Xenopus tropicalis: one gene and its partner. The protein of the gene in region 1 interacts with the protein of each later gene in a biochemical or structural test. Links are inferred from orthologs where the notes say so. Each region holds a gene or a part of one and is shown on either strand. Other genes may lie near its edges.

Region 1 (10,959 bases):
AGTAATGGAACTGTGGGACAGCGCGTATAGTAATGGAACTGAGGGACAGTGCGTATAGTAATGGAACTGTGGGACAGCGCGTATAGTGATGGAACTGAGGGACAGCGCGTATAGTGATGGAACTGAGGGACAGCGCGTATAGTAATGGAACTGTGGGACAGCGCGTATAGTGATGGAACTGAGGGACAGCGCGTATAGTGATGGAACTGAGGGACAGCGCGTATAGTAATGGAACTGAGGGACAGCACGTATAGTAATGGAACTGAGGGACAGTGCGTATAGTAATGGAACTGTGGGACAGCGCGTATAGTGATGGAACTGAGGGACAGCGCGTATAGTGATGGAACTGAGGGACAGTGCGTATAGTAATGGAACTGTGGGACAGCGCGTATAGTGATGGAACTGAGGGACAGCGCGTATAGTGATGGAACTGAGGGACAGCGCGTATAGTAATGGAACTGAGGGACAGCGCGTATAGTAATGGAACTGAGGGACAGGGCGTATAGTAATGGAACTGAGGGACAGCGCGTATAGTAATGGGACTGAGGGACAGCACGTATAGTAATGGAACTGAGGGACAGCACGTATAGTAATGGGACTGAGGGACAGCACGTATAGTAATGGGACTGAGGGACAGGGTGTATAGTAATGGAACTGAGGGACAGGGTGTATAGTAATGGAACTGAGGGACAGGGTGTATAGTAATGGAACTGAGGGACAGCGCGTATAGTAATGGAACTGAGGGACAGGGCGTATAGTAATGGAACTGAGGGACAGCGCGTATAGTAATGGGACTGAGGGACAGCACGTATAGTAATGGAACTGAGGGACAGCACGTATAGTAATGGGACTGAGGGACAGCACGTATAGTAATGGGACTGAGGGACAGGGTGTATAGTAATGGAACTGAGGGACAGGGTGTATAGTAATGGAACTGTGGGACAGTGTGTATAGTAATGGAACTGAGGGACAGTGTGTATAGTAATGGAACTGAGGGACAGTGCGTATAGTAATAGGACTGAGGGACAGTGTATAGTAATGGAACTGAGGGACAGGGTGTATAGTAATGGAACTGAGGGACAGTGTGTATAGTAATGGAACTGAGGGACAGCGCGTATAGTAATGGAACTGAGGGACAGCGCGTATAGTAATGGGACTGTGGGACAGCGCGTATAGTAATGGGACTGTGGGACAGCGCGTATAGTAATGGAACTGAGGGACAGCGCGTATAGTGATGGAACTGAGGGACAGCGCGTATAGTGATGGAACTGAGGGACAGCGCGTATAGTAATGGAACTGAGGGACAGGGTGTATAGTAATGGAACTGAGGGACAGGGTGTATAGTAATGGAACTGAGGGACAGCGCGTATAGTAATGGGACTGAGGGACAGGGTGTATAGTAATGGGACTGAGGGACAGTGTGTATAGTAATAGGACTGAGGGACAGGGTGTATAGTGATGGGACTGAGGGACAGTGTGTATAGTAATAGGACTGAGGGACAGGGTGAATAGTGATGGGACTGAGGGACAGTGTGTATAGTAATAGGACTGAGGGACAGCGCGTATAGTAATGGAACTGAGGGACAGTGTGTATAGTGATGGAACTGAGGGACAGGGTGTATAGTAATAGGACTGAGGGACAGGGTGTATAGTAATGGAACTGAGGGACAGTGTGTATAGTAATAGGACTGAGGGACAGCGCGTATAGTAATGGAACTGAGGGACAGTGTGTATAGTGATGGAACTGAGGGACAGTGTGTATAGTAATGGAACTGAGGGACAGCGCGTATAGTAATGGAACTGAGGGACAGCGCGTATAGTAATGGAACTGAGGGACAGTGTGTATAGTGATGGAACTGAGGGACAGCGCGTATAGTAATGGAACTGAGGGACAGTGTGTATAGTGATGGAACTGAGGGACAGGGTGTATAGTAATAGGACTGAGGGACAGGGTGTATAGTAATGGAACTGAGGGACAGTGTGTATAGTAATAGGACTGAGGGACAGCGCGTATAGTAATGGAACTGAGGGACAGTGTGTATAGTGATGGAACTGAGGGACAGTGTGTATAGTAATGGAACTGAGGGACAGCGCGTATAGTAATGGAACTGAGGGACAGCGCGTATAGTGATGGAACTGAGGGACAGCACGTATAGTAATGGGACTGAGGGACAGTGTGTATAGTGATGGAACTGAGGGACAGTGTGTATAGTGATGGAACTGAGGGACAGCGCGTATAGTAATGGAACTGAGGGACAGTGTGTATAGTGATGGAACTGAGGGACAGGGTGTATAGTAATGGAACTGAGGGACAGCGCGTATAGTAATAGGACTGAGGGACAGGGTGTATAGTGATGGAACTGAGGGACAGTGTGTATAGTAATGAAACTGAGGGACAGCGCGTATAGTAATGGGACTGTGGGACAGCGCGTATAGTAATGGGACTGTGGGACAGCGCGTATAGTAATGGAACTGAGGGACAGCGCGTATAGTGATGGAACTGAGGGACAGCGCGTATAGTGATGGAACTGAGGGACAGCGCGTATAGTAATGGAACTGAGGGACAGGGTGTATAGTAATGGAACTGAGGGACAGGGTGTATAGTAATGGAACTGAGGGACAGCGCGTATAGTAATGGGACTGAGGGACAGGGTGTATAGTAATGGGACTGAGGGACAGTGTGTATAGTAATAGGACTGAGGGACAGGGTGTATAGTGATGGGACTGAGGGACAGTGTGTATAGTAATAGGACTGAGGGACAGGGTGTATAGTGATGGGACTGAGGGACAGTGTGTATAGTAATAGGACTGAGGGACAGCGCGTATAGTAATGGAACTGAGGGACAGTGTGTATAGTGATGGAACTGAGGGACAGGGTGTATAGTAATAGGACTGAGGGACAGGGTGTATAGTGATGGAACTGAGGGACAGTGTGTATAGTAATGGAACTGAGGGACAGCGCGTATAGTGATGGAACTGAGGGACAGCGCGTATAGTGATGGAACTGAGGGACAGCGCGTATAGTGATGGAACTGAGGGACAGCGCGTATAGTAATGGGACTGAGGGACAGTGTGTATAGTGATGGAACTGAGGGACAGTGTGTATAGTGATGGAACTGAGGGACAGCGCGTATAGTAATGGAACTGAGGGACAGTGTGTATAGTGATGGAACTGAGGGACAGGGTGTATAGTAATAGGACTGAGGGACAGGGTGTATAGTGATGGAACTGAGGGACAGGGTGTATAGTAATAGGACTGAGGGACAGCGCGTATAGTGATGGAACTGAGGGACAGTGTGTATAGTAATGGAACTGAGGGACAGTGTGTATAGTAATGGAACTGAGGGACAGCGCGTATAGTAATGGAACTGAGGGACAGCGCGTATAGTGATGGAACTGAGGGACAGCGCGTATAGTAATGGAACTGAGGGACAGTGTGTATAGTAATGGAACTGAGGGACAGCGCGTATAGTGATGGAACTGAGGGACAGCGCGTATAGTGATGGAACTGAGGGACAGCGCGTATAGTAATGGAACTGAGGGACAGTGTGTATAGTGATGGAACTGAGGGACAGGGTGTATAGTAATAGGACTGAGGGACAGGGTGTATAGTGATGGAACTGAGGGACAGGGTGTATAGTAATAGGACTGAGGGACAGCGCGTATAGTGATGGAACTGAGGGACAGTGTGTATAGTAATGGAACTGAGGGACAGTGTGTATAGTAATGGAACTGAGGGACAGCGCGTATAGTAATGGAACTGAGGGACAGCGCGTATAGTGATGGAACTGAGGGACAGCGCGTATAGTAATGGAACTGAGGGACAGTGTGTATAGTAATGGAACTGAGGGACAGCGCGTATAGTGATGGAACTGAGGGACAGCGCGTATAGTGATGGAACTGTGGGACAGCGCGTATAGTAATGGGACTGTGGGACAGCGCGTATAGTAATGGAACTGAGGGACAGTGTGTATAGTAATAGAACTGAGGGACAGGGTGTATAGTAATGGAACTGTGTATAGTAAGGCAAAACAGTCTGGGGCCATGAGGTAATCCCAGCCAAACTATCAACTCCAATCCCTCCCATCATTGCCAGGGGATGCTGGGAATAACAAATCAGCAGTAGCACCATAAGGGCACTTGTACAGTACCTACAGTACCCCTTTGTGCCACACGCTTTTACAGTGCCAGGTATAACAGTGCCAGGTATAACAGTGCTGCATGGGGTCAAATTGACTTACACCCTGTTCTGAGCCGGAGGGCAGTTTCAGCCCTTACAGTACTTTATCTATGTTGCGATTCCGTTATACACAGGTGCCACACAATGACATGACTACCCCATATAGACGAAACCAGTCGCAACAGTAAACAACCCCCAGAGCCAGCGAGCCCAGTCCTACACACACACCCCAGCCAGCGAGCCCAGCCCGCCCTGACTAACAGCCTAAGGAATGAGCCGCAGGCCCCGCCCCCTCCGCACTCCTTGCCGCCGCTTGCATGCCCTGTTCACGCGTTGCCGTACGGCTCCCATTGGCTGGCCTCTCCTGTGACATCATTCCGCCGGCCAATGGCAGCTGTGTGCATGAGGTGAGCATGGGGAAGCCGTCGGGATACACGAGGTGGGCGGAGCTAGAGCGCAGAGGCGGGGTTACGTTGGGCTATATCAGGCTGATTTCCTGGTGTTGTTTACAACCTGTAGGTTGGAAAGTGTGGGACCTGCTAACCAGTGCAACTCTGTGCAGGCTTAGAGAGATCACACACTACTGAACTGACACTGAAGTGAAACTAAAATTCTTTGCTTGTTTGTGTGATCCTTACCTAAGGACTATTCTTCATTGCTTGCAATTCCATTGGACTCCTCATTGCCAAACAGGTTGCCCCCTGCAGCCCAACTGTCTTCTCAGGCTTCTTAGTTGCCCATTGGAATAGAACTCATTGTCATCATGGTTGTCTTCAAGAAAGTCAAGTGCTTCGAAGTGTCCTTCGCCGACCCGCAGAAGGTGTACTGCGGCGGGGAGAAGGTAACCGGCAAGGTCCTGGTGGAGGTGGCCGAAGTGACCCGGGTGACAGCCGTCAGAGTGTTGGCTTGTGGAGTGGCCAAAGTATTGTGGTCCCAGAACTGCAAGCAGGAGATGGAGTACTTGAGATTTGAGGACACCTTGCAGATGGAGGAGCAGCCTACAGGTGAGAAGCAATGTTGGGGCCAAAGGTGGGAGGGAAAGATGGAGGTACTGTGAGTAGTTTGGAGGGTTGTTTATCTCTGCATTGCTGGGTTGCCTGATGCTTTCAAAGAGCATTACGAGCATGATAGGAAGTGGGTTTGTAGTCCCTTTAAACTGCATGACGGCTATGAGGATGTGGCTCTTTATACCCGACGACATACCCCTTTGCGTATGTTGATTTCCTATCTGGTGTCCCTCTGTGCTTGGTGGCACTGTAGTAATAGACTCATTAAATGCACCGCTATGGTCATTAAATGCCCCGCTATGCAGTGTCCCTGTAAGCATCATCTGGACTTGAATTTGGGACTTGGCAAATATTCCTGGTATGCAGAGCCTGCTACTGGAAGTGCTGTGTCCTGCGATCCTATTGCACTGGCTCAGTACTGTAATGCACACTGTATGTGAGAAATATGATGCTTGTGTGAAAACTACAGAGGCTATTGGCAGGACATCCCGATCTGCACTGGTGCACGGTTGCCATGGCAGGGTGTGTTAGTTTCAGATCAACCTATTGGATTCAGTCCATATCGTACTGGGAGATTAATAGTATCTTATAAAGAAGATTGTCCTGTCCCTTTCTGTTCAACATAAGGCAATAATGCTACACGCAGTTAGCAATTCAGCATTTTGTGATTCCTTGACAAAACTTTACCAAGCTATAACTTCATTTCTGTGTCTCTTGTTATCTTAAATAGATTCCGATGGATCTGTCATTATGAGGCCAGGCAACTTCTATGAATACAAGTTCGGTTTCGAGCTGCCCCAAGGGTAGGTATCCTGCTTTTATTAAATGTAGCAATTACATTTATCTGCTTGTGTTTTGTTTTTTTGTCTGTTTTATTTTTGTATATCAAGTCTTATGGTCCTGTATCTCTTTGCAGTCCTTTGGGGTCATCATTCAAAGGAAAGTATGGTTCTGTGAAGTACTGGGTTAAAGCTTTCCTCGATCGGCCATCCCATCCTCCCCAAGAAGCACAGAAGCACTTTCAAGTTGAGGACTCTGTGAATGTAGACACTCCAGATCTCATGGTAACTATATTTTATATACTAAGTCCTATAGATCTTATAGTTATGTGCAGTCATAGAAATAAAAGTATTCAATGGTAAAGTTACACCTTATTGTATAAAGTTGCAATACCCAGTTGCAGGTAGTCTTGCATGCTTGGATTATCTGAGGAGTGATCTCCTGCCCTTTCAGCACTCATTATAGGTCAGGTTCATTGACAGAGCAGCTAATGAGTTTATAGATTAGCCCCAGGGTCAGAGGGTCAGAGCAGTAGCTGGTGTCCTGTCTTTAGCAGCTCAGTAGAGCATCACTAATCTTGTTTGTTTCTTCCTGGCAGTCACCAGTGTCTGGCAAAAAGTACAAGAAGATGACGTGCATGTTCATTCCTGATGGCCACATCTCTATGAGTGCCTGCATTAACCGCAAGGGATTCTGTGAAGGTAAGGTTCTTTGTTTAATGTAGATACAGAATTTATGTTTGTATGTTTGGATACTTGTGTACACAGAGCTGTACATTAAAATTATACACTGATAGAACTGATGGGGGATCAATGCAATTACAGAATATAAATAACTACAACAATATATATTTAAGCATTAGCTCAATGGGGCAGGTTCCTCCATTCATTTGTCTCTAACCATCTAAATGATATGTGGTACATATGTATGTATAAGGTTTCAAAGAAGACTCCAAAAAACCTAAATTAAATAAGGTCAGAATTGCAGGTAGAAAAGACAAAATGTTGCAGACAACTAGTTTTTGCATAAAAAAAATGGCTTCCCTCTCAACTAGATTTACCCTTCTTTTATAGGTGAAGACATCTGCATCTCTGCTGACTTTGAGAACACTTGCTCCCGCATCGTTGTCCCCAAAGCTGCCATTATATCCAAGCACACCTATCTGGCCAATGGCCAGACCAAAGTCTTCACTCAGAAATTATGCAGTGTGAGAGGCAATCACATCATTTCAGGCATGACTGACTCATGGAGAGGGAAGAGTATCCGTGTACCTAAAATCAAGCCTTCCATCTTGGGGTGTAACATCCTGCGTGTTGAATACTCCCTGCTGGTAAGTTTTGGCTTAAGTCAGATTGGTTGTTGCAATGTCATCTAGTGTAAATGGAAGTGTCTAGCAAGAAGTATGAAGCTTGCTTAAGTCTACCAACCCATGACAACTCCAATCAGATGGTTCCTTTATTATTTTAACCACCCTAGACTATTCAGAGCTAAATGATGGTTGGTTTCTGTGGGTAACCAACTGAAAGGAACTTGATCAGCATAACCCACCAAGATCTTTGATATGATTACTGAAAAAGTCAAGTGAGAGTAGAAAGGGAAATAAAATCCAGTGCATTGCAGTGATAACTTACTACTCTTCCTTTTACATTGCAGGTCTATGTCAGCGTCCCTGGTGCCAAGAAGATCATCCTCAACTTGCCCCTTGTCATAGGCTCCAGTTCTTCTGGAATGAACAGCCGTACCTCTAGCATGGCAAGCCAGGCCAGCTCTGAGATGAGCTGGATTGAACTGAACATCCCAGGCACCCCAGAAGGTGTGTTTCTTAAAATATTGCTCTGTTTATTGTTCTTTTAGACCAACGTGTTGTATTCAGACTAAAGTCTTATGCATTATTCCTGTTATTTCCCTCAGCTCCTCCAGGCTACCTGGACATTGTTCCTGAAGATCACAGACTGGAGAGCCCCACCACTCCATTGTTGGATGATTTAGATGGAGCCTGCGACAGCCCTATCTTCATGTATGCTCCAGAGTTTAAATACATGCCCCCCCCAACCTACACAGAGGTAAGCTTCTTCTATTGATACTACTTGGCTTGTCCACTTGAATTAGCACAACTTAATCTAAAAAATGAGATGGCTAACCTTTGGCTAAACTATTTGTATTTTTTCTTCATCAGGTTGATGTCAACAAAAACACATGTGTGCAGTAAACCGAAAAGCAGAAACCACCAAGGATGTTCATTCTTTTATGTTTAAATTCTTCACTTGACTACTGTTACACAGTGGCCATGTGGTAGCTGTAAGTGGCCTTTTCTTCAAGGGCTTGGTTCAGGAGCTTGAACCAAAGACAAGGAAAGACTTTCACACTTGCCTTAAACCTGCATCGCCTGATTAAGATGTGCCATGAAGATAAAGAGCGGTCTGCTTTATGCCCTTTGTGGGCAAGAATCTGTGGCCAATGGTGGATATGAGGACATTCGAACACACATAGTATTTGATCACTGAGAGCACACACAAAGACTGATAATTAAGCAACACCAAACTGTTAATGAGTCTGAATGGTGTGATTCTTACTTTTCCCCCTCCCTGCCCTCTTATTTATAAGCAAGGGTCAAAGGATTTCAAATGACTATAGAATGCTAGTCTACCTTTTCTACTGGTGCCTTATGAAGTAGGGCTATAGAAGTCACGCCAGAAAGCATTCCAGCGAGGGCATTAACTCAGAGGACAGAGATGGATAGTAACTTTACTGGCCCTTTTGATATGTTGAAGGGTTTAATTATGTAAATGAGGTGATTAAGAAAATCATGAGAAGCTGGCATTAATATACCCTACAAATGCAATCCCGCAATTATGTTTTCCGAATCCAATAACCTTCTGCGTGTATATCTCTAAAAAACAGGATATGCATGCTGCATGATCCTTTATATATTAACATGCAAAAATGTTGTCCTTTTTTGTGACATTTGTTAGTATTCTCCTGTTAGAAAACAGTGTTAAGTATTTTTGTTTTTCTTTGTAAAGCACTTTCTAATTATTCTGTGGAATGTTTAAGCTATTATAAAAAATTTTTGGGGGGAGGGGGTTGGGCATATGTAACCACTACAGAATGGCTTCTCCTTTATATTGTTCAGGTCTTAGGGCAGGTTTCACTGACCGTCCAGCTATAGTGAGCTAAAAAATATTCTGATTCTCAGCCTGTTGCATAACAGTGTCTTAGGGGGCTTTTGTAAAATTGCAATGATCTCCGGAAAATGATCAGCTTTAATTGTGACATCACTTTCTCAGTCTGTACAATGATTTAAGATGTTTGAAATCTACTGCAGATCTTGAAAGGAAACGTCACCATTAATAATATCTGCCTTTGGGACACGCATGAAATCATTTTTGTTATCGTCCCGACTGGCAGCTTTTAGTTTCACTGTATAAAGGGCTATTTTTATCTCGTTAGTCGACATACAGTATTCTGTAATGAAATAGAAAAAAAACGCCAGTCTTTCAATGCACTTAAGCCTAATGTTGCTGCCTACTATGCTATTTTTAGCTTTCCTAAAACAAGGCTTCCTTTTGCATTGATGTATGAAAATGTGTTTTTGATTTTTCCGCCCTTCCCTGTTCGAACATTCTTGACCTAAACGTTTGCAGACTTCTACTTGTATTGCAGATTCTTGGAGCAAGCACTTAATCTCTTGTACTGTAACTTAGCACTGCAAAACTTCTGTGTTTCCTTGGGGAATGTATGCTTGCACCGAGGAGGGTTTTTTTTTTTTTTTCTTTTGTAAGAGGAATATTCATTGCTGTTTTTGTATATCAGTTACAAAGATTATTATTATATTTTGTACTGTGAAATGTTGCCTGTTTAAAGGCAATATTTATTTTTTAAATAAAGATAAGAAATATATAAAAAAAAAAACTTGATTTGTTTATGAATGAATGTTGGCACTAAGTGTAATTATCTAACATGATTGGATTTCCTCATGTAATCCACGCTAACGTTACAATCCTGGCTCTTGCCAGTTGGCAAGCGTCGGCTGTGTTGATGCCATCATGTAAAACAGGTGGCAATATTTGTCTAGTTATAATGTAAGCCAAGGTTAAATCTTACATTTATTTCATGTTATTGGAGGAAAACCTGTAAATTGCACTCCGAGGGTTTAGTTTATTCTTTATCATATTATTAAAGCTGGCCATACATGCACCAATATAATCATAGAAACAAGGAGATTCATACAGTTTTCCTGTCTGGTAATTGTTAATTGTCAATAATACAATTTCTGTCTAAATGTTAGTTTTAGATTGTTGCGTTGAAACAATATCCGAATGTTCGTCATAAGAACTAAAATCTGAACGTATATGGCCAGCTTAAGTCTGTGAAAGCTAACCTAATACCATGAGCTATCTGGGACAGAATTAACCAAAGCGCTTTATACCTGTCAATGAAGACCCCAAACATCCCAACACTATAGTGGAACCTGGGATAGTGTGGTTTCTAAATAATGGAGCATTTTGGTTGAGAAAATACCCTCCTTATTTGTATGCAAAGCAGAAGGAATTCTATGGAGTAGTCCAGGATCACTCCTGACATCAGTTAACATGGAATATTCTAGGGTAGGGTCTACAATCTTTATTACCTGTAAGCCACATTCAAATGTTAAGAGATTTAAGGAGCAATACAAGCACTACAATAGTTTCTGAGGTGCCAGATAGAGGCAGCAATTTACTATTTGATAGCCCATATGTGGACTGACTGCCTACAAGAAACAGCACACCTGGATTTAATGAACCTAACGTATGTAACAAACTAAACGTATGCACCTATTTTGAGGCCACTGGTTGGGGACAACTGCTCTCTGTTCACTGGCCAGTCTGATTGCATGGCTTTCACCAGTGATCTGGTCAATAGGCTAATGAAATGCTGTATTATTACTGGCTGTTGTGGGCAAATATGCTACAGAGTGGAATGTGTGCTGTCCATGTATATAAGGAAGGTTTG
Region 2 (9,070 bases), on another chromosome or scaffold:
CCGCTGTGTAGCCCCGGGGGCAGCCATTCCTGCACTGGTACAGCTGGGGTGTTTGCTACAGAAACCCTACTATAGTTATATAATACCCCGCTGTGTAGCCCCGGGGGCAGCCATTCCTGCACTGGTACAGCTGGGGTGTTTGCTACAGAACCCTACTATAGTTTATATAAATACCCCGCTGTGTAGCCCCGGGGGCAGCCATTCCTGCACGGTACAGCTGGTGTGTTTGCTACAGAAACCCTACTATAGTTTATATAAATACCCCGCTGTGTAGCCCCGGGGGCAGCCATTCCTGCACTGGTACAGCTGGGGTGTTTGCTACAGAAACCCTACTATAGTTTATATAAATACCCCGCTGTGTAGCCCCGGGGGCAGCCATTCCTGCACCGGTACAGCTGGGGTGTTTGCTACAGAAACCCTACTATAGTTTAAATAAATACCCCGCTGTGTAGCCCCGGGGGCAGCCATTCCTGCACTGGTACAGCTGGGTGTTTGCTACAGAAACCCTACTATAGTTTTATATAATACCCCGCTGTGTAGCCCCGGGGGCAGCCATTCCTGCACTGGTACAGCTGGGGTGTTTGCTACAGAAACCCTACTATAGTTTAAATAATACCCCCGCTGTATAGCCCCGGGGGCAGCCGTTCCTGCACTGGTACAGCTGGGGTGTTTGCTACAGAAACCCTACTATAGTTTATATAAATACCCCGCTGTGTAGCCCCGGGGGCAGCCATTCCTGCACTGGTACAGCTGGGGTGTTTGCTACAGAAACCCTACTATAGTTTATATAAATACCCCGCTGTGTAGCCCCGGGGGCAGCCATTCCTGCACTGGTACAGCTGGGGTGTTTGCTACAGAAACCCTACTATAGTTTATATAAATACCCCGCTGTGTAGCCCCGGGGGCAGCCGTTCAAGCTGGAAAAAAGGAGAAAAGGCACAGGTTACATAGCAGATAACAGATAAGTTCTGTAGAATACAATGGTGTTTTATCTGTTATCTGCTATGTGCCTGTGCCTTTTCTCCTTTTTTCCAGCTTGAATGGCTGCCCCCGGGGCTACACAGCGGGGTATTTATATAAACTATAGTAGGGTTTCTGTAGCAAACACCCCAGCTGTACCAGTGCAGGAACGGCTGCCCCCGGGGCTACACAGCGGGGTATTTATATAAACTATAGTAGGGTTTCTGTAGCAAACACACCAGCTGTACCAGTGCAGGAATGGCTGCCCCCGGGGCTACACAGCGGGGTATTTATATAACTATAGTAGGGTTTCTGTAGCAAACACCCCAGCTGTACCGGTGCAGGAATGGCTGCCCCCGGGGCTACACAGCGGGGTATTTATATAAACTATAGTAGGGTTTCTGTAGCAAACACCCCAGCTGTACCAGTGCAGGAATGGCTGCCCCCGGGGCTACACAGCGGGGTATTTATATAAACTATAGTAGGGTTTCTGTAGCAAACACCCCAGCTGTACCAGTGCAGGAACGGCTGCCCCCGGGGCTACACAGCGGGGTATTTATATAAACTATAGTAGGGTTTCTGTAGCAAACACCCCAGCTGTACCAGTGCAGGGCAACAGTGCATTATAATTTTATTACTTTAAAGCTCTTTCATTTTTTTGGTGTTACTGTTCCTTTAAGAGGCTGGGGCCCACTGAGTGGCTGGAAGTTTCCCATAGGGCAAATAAGATGTTGCAGGCAGGACCGTGCGCTTTACCCTGAGCGCTTGCATCATGTTACACGCAGCAGCCAATCACATGGCTCGGCCCGTGGGGACTGGAATTTCAGCAACTTGGACTCGTTCACCCCGAGCCCAGGGAGGATCAAGTTACTGCCCCGGCAGCTCCATAACAGCTGATTAACGTCACTAACCAACCCCCCCCCCCCCCCCCCGGCCCTGCCCAGCTGCTCCTGCCCCTGCCCCCTGCTGGCCGCTGCTAAGGCTTCTGGGAGTTGTATCTGTGTGTTACCTGCGCTGCTAAGGCTTCTGGGAGTTGTATCTGTGTGTTGCCTGTGCTGCTGAGGCTTCTGGGAGTTGTATCTGTGTGTTACCTGTGCTGCTGAGGCTTCTGGGAGTTGTATCTGTGTGTTACCTGTGCTGCTGAGGCTTCTGGGAGTTGTATCTGTGTGTTACCTGTGCTGCTGAGGCTTCTGGGAGTTGTATCTGTGTGTTACCTGTGCTGCTGAGGCTTCTGGGAGTTGTATCTGTGTGTTACCTGTGCTGCTGAGGCTTCTGGGAGTTGTAGTCGTGTGTTACACTGCTCTCGGTGCCCCTTTTCCCCCAGAATGCACTGCTTTCTGTACGTGACTCCCAGGGGCAGATTCATCAACCCCCCCCCCCCACGCAGCCGTTTCTTATTAACCCCATGAATGCTGACAGGAAAGGGTTACTCGTATGAGTGAATATAGAAGTGGGACGCCATTACTGCTCTATGGGGCGTTAGAGTTCAGCCGAGCGCTAACTCCCCTCCTGATTGTTCATGTCCGACGCCAATTGCCCGCGTTATGGGATGAAATGGTTAAACCTAAATTCCAGGTGACCGTTAACCCTTGATGTTCCCGCAGGTGATCGAGGGCTTCTACAATGCCACGTGGCTGGAGCGGTACAACGAGCCCATCCCAGAGTCCACCCTCACCTCCCTGTGGTCCCTGTCCGTGGCCATCTTCTCTGTGGGCGGGATGGTCGGCTCCTTCTCCGTGGGGCTGTTTGTCAACCGATTCGGCAGGTAAGGGGGCGGCCCTCCAGCTAAAGGGGAAATAAACCTCCCACGGAAATGTTGGACCTTGCTCCACTACTGGACTACACCTTCCAGGATATTTAGTGGGGGGCGGGGGGTCACATCATGGTAGTGCCAGGTCCGTGCCCAATGGCCAATAAGGGCTGAGGAATTAATGGCCTGACGTGTGCCTTTCTCCTCTGAACCCCAGGCGCAACTCCATGCTGATGGCCAACGTCCTGGCCTTCCTAGCCGCCATTTTGATGGGATTCTCCAAGCTTGCAGTCTCCTTCGAGATGCTGATCATTGGCCGGTTTGTGGTTGGACTCTACTGTGGCCTCACCACCGGTTTCGTGCCAATGTACGTCGGAGAAGTGTCCCCCACATCGCTGCGAGGAGCCCTGGGGACCCTGCACCAGTTGGGCGTGGTGGTTGGAATCCTTATTGCCCAGGTAGGGGGACAATCTCATGACCATGTCCATCTGGTTGGGCCGGGGCTTTTCCTGGGTACTAAAGCTTTTCTGTTCATTGTGTAGATCTTCGGGCTGAAGCCAATCATGGGCAACGACTCCCTGTGGCCCTTCCTATTGGGCTGCATATTCATCCCGGCCATATTGCAGTGCATCATGCTGCCCTTCTGCCCCGAAAGCCCTCGTTTCCTGCTCATTAATCGCAACGAGGAAGACAAAGCCAAGAGCGGTAGGTCTTTCCCACGTTACCGTGTGTGTAGGCATCTCAGTAGGCTTCAGGTCTCATCATCTCCCACTCCCTCTCTCAGTGCTGAAGAAGCTCCGCGGCACCACCGACGTGAGCAGTGACCTGCAGGAGATGAAGGAGGAGAGTCGGCAGATGATGCGGGAGAAGAAAGTCACCATCTTGGAACTGTTCCGCTCCCCGCTCTATCGCCAACCCATGTTCATCGCCATCATCCTGCAACTGTCCCAGCAGCTCTCTGGGATCAACGCGGTAAGGGCACCGTCAGATGTCCTACTGGCATCTCTCTATCCCCCCTGTGGAACTCAGTAGTGTAGCAGCCCCTGCTGGTCAGCATGAAGCATTGCAGCTAATTACCCTTGGCGGTTCCCTTATAGAGGGCAATAAAACCGCCCCACTCTAGGAATAACCCTAGTGAGTCTTGGCGTCTTCTGATTCATCTTCACTGGTTGATCCGCCCAACTATAAATGGTTCCGGCTCTAGTACATGAAAGTTCTAGAACCAAAAGGGCACAATGCTCTTTGCTCGGATGAGCTCTGTTGGACCCAACCAACCAACCAACCGGCTTTGTCTTCTTGCAGGTCTTTTACTACTCCACCATGATCTTCCAAAAGGCCCAAGTGGAGCAGCCGGTGTACGCCACCATTGGCGCGGGGATTGTGAATACGGCCTTCACCGTCGTGTCGGTGAGTTGATGGGAATCGAGTCCTTGTAAGGGGGTTGGGCAGCTCAATGCCACATACAGGGGCATATTCAGAGGGGTGTGGGGGCAACATATAGATCGCAGCTTCTTTATACAAGTCTTTTTATCCCCACAGCTGTTTGTAGTGGAACGGGCCGGCCGGCGAACCCTTCACCTCATTGGACTGGGCGGAATGGCGGTTTGTGCCATCCTGATGACCATCGCGTTGGCCCTGCTGGTAAGCCCGAGGGGCATATATGGAATGGGTGGGCAGAGGAGGGCAGTTGATATGCCTGGATAGCTGATAACACTCATTGTCTCCCCCTACAGGACAGCGTCGGTGGCATGTCCTATCTCAGCATTGTGGCCATCTTTGGCTTCGTGGCCTTCTTTGAAATTGGCCCGGGGCCCATCCCATGGTTCATTGTAGCAGAACTCTTCAGCCAGGGCCCCAGACCCGCGGCCATCGCAGTCGCCGGCCTTTCCAACTGGACTTCCAACTTTATAGTGGGAATGGGCTTCCAATATGTAGAGGTAAGTGGCCGGTGAATTGGTCTGTGTGGGGGACAGTGGGGTTGTGTGGGAGTTGTGGGTCTGCCAATCAAACCAGCAGGGAAGGGATCCTGGTAATAAAGGAGGAAATATACATCATTCCCATGATTGGGCCCAAAGGGACCAGTCTGGGGTCAGAAAGTCCTTCCATGGAAGCCACTAGATCCACCCATGGAAGCCACTAGATCCACCCATGGAAGCCACTAGATCCACCCATGGAGGCCACTAGATCCACCCATGGAGGCCACTAGATCCACCCATGGAGGCCACTAGATCCACCCATTGAAGCCACCAGATCCACCCATGGAAGCCACTAGATCCATCCATGGAAGCCACTAGATCCACCCATGGAAGCCATTAGATCCACCCATGGAGGCCACTAGATCCACCCATGGAGGCCACTAGATCCACCCATGGAGGCCACTAGATCCACCCCTGGAGGCCACTAGATCCACCCCTGGAGGCCACTAGATCCACCCCTGGAGGCCACTAGATCCACCCCTGGAGGCCACTAGATCCACCCCTGGAGGCCACTAGATCCACCCCTGGAGGCCACTAGATCCACCCCTGGAGGCCACTAGATCCACCCCTGGAGGCCACTAGATCCACCCCTGGAGGCCACTAGATCCACCCCTGGTGGCCACTAGATCCACCCATGGTAGCCACTAGATCCACCCATGGTAGCCACTAGATCCACCCATGACTCCCCAAGGCTGTTGGGCGGAACAAGGCTGGAATTTCCCCTATAGCTCCCATTATTGGGGGGCACTGAGTCTATGGAAAGACTTCCCATTGTTGGGAACGTGGCCCCTCAGCCAGTAGTGGGGCAGTTGCCCCCAGTATCCCAGTGTGTGGGGCAAAATCCTCAACATTTTCTCTCTTTTACTTCTACAGCAACTGTGCGGCGCCTACGTCTTCATCATCTTCACCGTCCTCCTCCTCATCTTCTTCGTCTTCACCTACTTCAAGGTGCCGGAGACCAAGGGGCGCACCTTCGACGAGATCGCCTCCGAGTTCCGCCAGGGCGAGGGCCAGATGGTCAAACAGGCGGAGGAGCTGAACAGTTTGGGGCACAACGCCGACGACTCCCAAGTGTAACATTTCTACCCCCCCCCCCGGCACCTACCTCCTGTTGTTACCCCCCTCGTCCCCCCCTTCAGTCGTTACTTGCCCCCAGGCCCGCGGTTGGTCGGCCGCCGTTTCCCGGAGGAGTCTGGGAGTTAGCGAGAGGGGGCAGGGAGTTTATTTGGATGTATTTGCCCCTCCGGCCACACGGCCCGACCAGCCACAAACATTAACTCACTAATTTCATTTCCACGTGTGGCCGACATGAAGGAAAGAGAAGGCGGAACCATAGAGCTCTATATATAATGCTAGATGGCTTCGTTATTTTAATGGATTATTTTTTTAATTAGTGTGAGCTTTTCACGTAAGGAAGATTTTATCCCGGGATTCTGGGCAGTGGGGGGGGGGGCGACCCCCCCGATCACCTTGGACTCTGTTTACATAACGTAGTATTTTTTTATGGTTTAGTTTTCCTTTAATATTTTTTGAGAAAGTGTAATGGCACCAAAAGGCTCGTTTGGACCCGATATATATACTGTATTGTGTGTGTGGGCCCCGGGGGGGGGGGACCCTAATTAGCGGTCCCTGACACTGGGTCACATGGGATTGGGGGGGGTATCTCCTCTGGCAAGATGTGGGGATCGGTCCTGGGGCAGCTAGAACCGAGGGGGCTCTAGAACGGAGCTGTTATCGAGGGACAGATTCGGTTCAACTGATGATGTTCTAGAAACAGACTGGGGGGGCAATGAAAACCTGTTAGGGGGCCCCCAGATGGACAACTCCAGACGTTTCCCAGCACCGGCACTTTACTCAGGCGGTGGGCACTGTGGCAGCTGATACCCCCACTTGTGGGCATTATGTGACCCCAATGAGACCCCTAAAACAGTAGAACGAGGGGACGTGGTCCCTAGTGGTGACCCTGGGTACTGCATCATTTCCAATAGACAGGGTGCCGGGGGGGCTTGATCCCCACTTCCTGCCAGAGACCCCCCCCCCCCGAATCCCATCTCGCTCGCACTCACCCAGGGATGTTCCCATAGAGGAGACAGGGTGGTTACTAGGTTACGGGGGGGCTCTTGTACAAGGTTGGGGGGGGGGGGGGCGTTTTGCTGTAGAACTTGACATTCCGCATGTTTTTGATATTTGCAGCTGCTGTTTTGTTAGGGGGGGTGCAGAGAGACCCTGGGGGGGTTTATAAATCAGAAGCAGGGTGTTAGAATCCTAGGGGCCCCCCTAGGGGGGAAATGACAAACTGCAGTTAAACTGTGGGTGGGGCTTCACTTACTGAGCAAGTGACCTATAATAATAACTGCCCCCCCCAGGCCCAGTCTCTATAGGTCGTTTCCATGGTAGGGGACAATGTGGCAGTAAATGCTAGACCCAGGAGCTGGCACTTAGACTGGCAGTCAGTGTGAGCCCCCCTGCACCCCCTTCTATGGAGCCAGTGTAGCAATTGGGTTATGGATCATACACTACATGGGGCCCCCCCGGCCCCCCCTTGTACAGCCCCAGAGCTATTTATATATATTTATAGGTATAAGTATATATATATTTTTGTCGGATGGCGGTTCTGATGATACCGGAGCAATGACGATAACGTACTGTAAATATTTATTTTAGTCACATGGTTTGTTTTTTTGCACAATAGGTCAAAGCTGATAGGTCAGTTTTTATCAATGATGAGAAATGAAATCTGCGCTGTTATTATTATTCCCGCCCTATTGGCTGTATTTGTGGCGCCCGGGGCCCCAACGTTACTGTTCATTATTCCTGGGGCCCCGGTGTAGTTGCCCTTTATCCAGCATATAATGGGGGGAATAATAATTTATATTGAGGCTCCACCCAGAGACTGATCATTGGCCGCACAGAACGTTCCCTATATGAGTATTGTGTTTCTATGGATACGTGGGAGCTGCCATGTTGCTGACACGGCCATTGTTCATAGACTAAAGCTACACCTATCCTTAACACTAGGTGGCGCTGTTCTGCCTATGAGGAATGGCTGAGGCTCGTGGTATTGCAGCTCTCACTAATAAGTATAAAATACACAGTGATCCTCCTGTTGGACAAGAGACGAGGACTATTTCCCCTTTAACTCAAGGGATTGTGGGAAATGTGGATTTTGCTATGAAGCCCCCGTGTCGGTGTGTGTTTGTACCGGGTAATCGCCGCTCATTATCCTCACACTCGTTACTGTTGTTCTAGAGAGTTTGTTTTTTTATTTATTGTGAGATTTTGTCTCGAATTAAAAATTGATGAAGAATTTTGTGTCTTCTCTTTGCTGTAAATGAGGGGAGATCATTATCGGGGGGTCTCTGTGTGGCTGGTGGGAGGTGGGCAGGACTCTGAGGGAAGGGGCAGTGACATAAAAGGGGGCGGATAGGGTGGGGAGATAGAGAGGCTGCTGGGGGGAATCTCTCTGCCATTAGTCACATGGTTGGAGAAGGGGATTATGGGATATGAGGCCTGGATGCTGAGGGGAATCTCTCTGCCATTAGTCACATGGTTGGGGAAGGGGATTATGGGATACGAGGCCTGGCTGCTGAGGGGAATCTCTCTGCCATTAGTCACATGGTTGGAGAAGGGGATTATGGGAGATGAGGCCTGGCTGCTGAGGGGAATCTCTCTGCCATTAGTCACATGGTTGGAGAAGGGGATTATGGGATATGAGGCCTGGCTGCTGAGGGGAATCTCTCTGCCATTAGTCACATGGTTGGAGAAGGGGATTATGGGATATGAGGCCTGGCTGCTGAGGGGAATCTCTCTGCCATTAGTCACATGGTTGGAGAAGGGGATTATGGGAGATGAGGCCTGGCTGCTGAGGGGAATCTCTCTGCCATTAGTCACATGGTTAGAGAAGGGGATTATGGGATATGAGGCCTGGCTGCTGAGGGGAATCTCTCTGCCATTAGTCACATGGTTGGAGAAGGGGATTATGGGAGATGAGGCCTGGCTGCTGAGGGGAATCTCTCTGCCATTAGTCACATGGTTAGAGAAGGGGATTATGGGATATGAGGCCTGGCTGCTGAGGGGCCATTGGTGCATACAGAATAGGGGCCCAATAGCACCGACACGGCCTAATAATTCGGATCCTAACGTGCAGACTGCCTATTCCCTCCCCCTGTGTCACGGCGCCACCTGGGGGCAGTAAGTGAGAGAAATTGGCTGCGTCGCCATAAAGCAAATCCCAGCGCCACCAGGGGGCAGTAAGTGAGAGAAATTGGCTGCGTCGCCATAAAGCAAATCCCAGCGCCACCAGGGGGCATCGCACAAACCGCTCATTAGCATATGCAAATCAGCAGGAATCGTGGGAATGAGTCATGTGCCTCCGACATTTACT

Evidence for each region.
Region 2: the proteins of txnip (region 1) and slc2a1 form a complex in vitro, tested with the Homo sapiens proteins (2 studies listed by BioGRID). The link is inferred for Xenopus tropicalis from reciprocal best matches to the Homo sapiens genes TXNIP and SLC2A1.

The regions. Positions count from the first base shown.
Region 1 is NC_030684.2:128,519,720-128,530,678, reverse strand, and holds txnip (thioredoxin-interacting protein), read left to right. Parts: upstream 1-4,943; coding exon 4,944-5,184; exon of another isoform or gene 5,185-5,516; intron 5,517-5,917; coding exon 5,918-5,990; intron 5,991-6,103; coding exon 6,104-6,251; intron 6,252-6,565; coding exon 6,566-6,668; intron 6,669-7,040; coding exon 7,041-7,297; intron 7,298-7,620; coding exon 7,621-7,780; intron 7,781-7,878; coding exon 7,879-8,030; intron 8,031-8,143; coding exon 8,144-8,176; 3' UTR 8,177-9,622; downstream 9,623-10,959. UniProt on the Homo sapiens protein: May act as an oxidative stress mediator by inhibiting thioredoxin activity or by limiting its bioavailability.
Region 2 is NC_030681.2:34,711-43,780, forward strand, and holds the end of slc2a1 (solute carrier family 2 (facilitated glucose transporter), member 1), read left to right. Parts: intron 1-2,564; coding exon 2,565-2,725; intron 2,726-2,927; coding exon 2,928-3,168; intron 3,169-3,252; coding exon 3,253-3,415; intron 3,416-3,494; coding exon 3,495-3,682; intron 3,683-4,012; coding exon 4,013-4,117; intron 4,118-4,249; coding exon 4,250-4,351; intron 4,352-4,443; coding exon 4,444-4,647; intron 4,648-5,559; coding exon 5,560-5,763; 3' UTR 5,764-7,990; downstream 7,991-9,070. UniProt on the Homo sapiens protein: Facilitative glucose transporter, which is responsible for constitutive or basal glucose uptake. Has a very broad substrate specificity; can transport a wide range of aldoses including both pentoses and hexoses.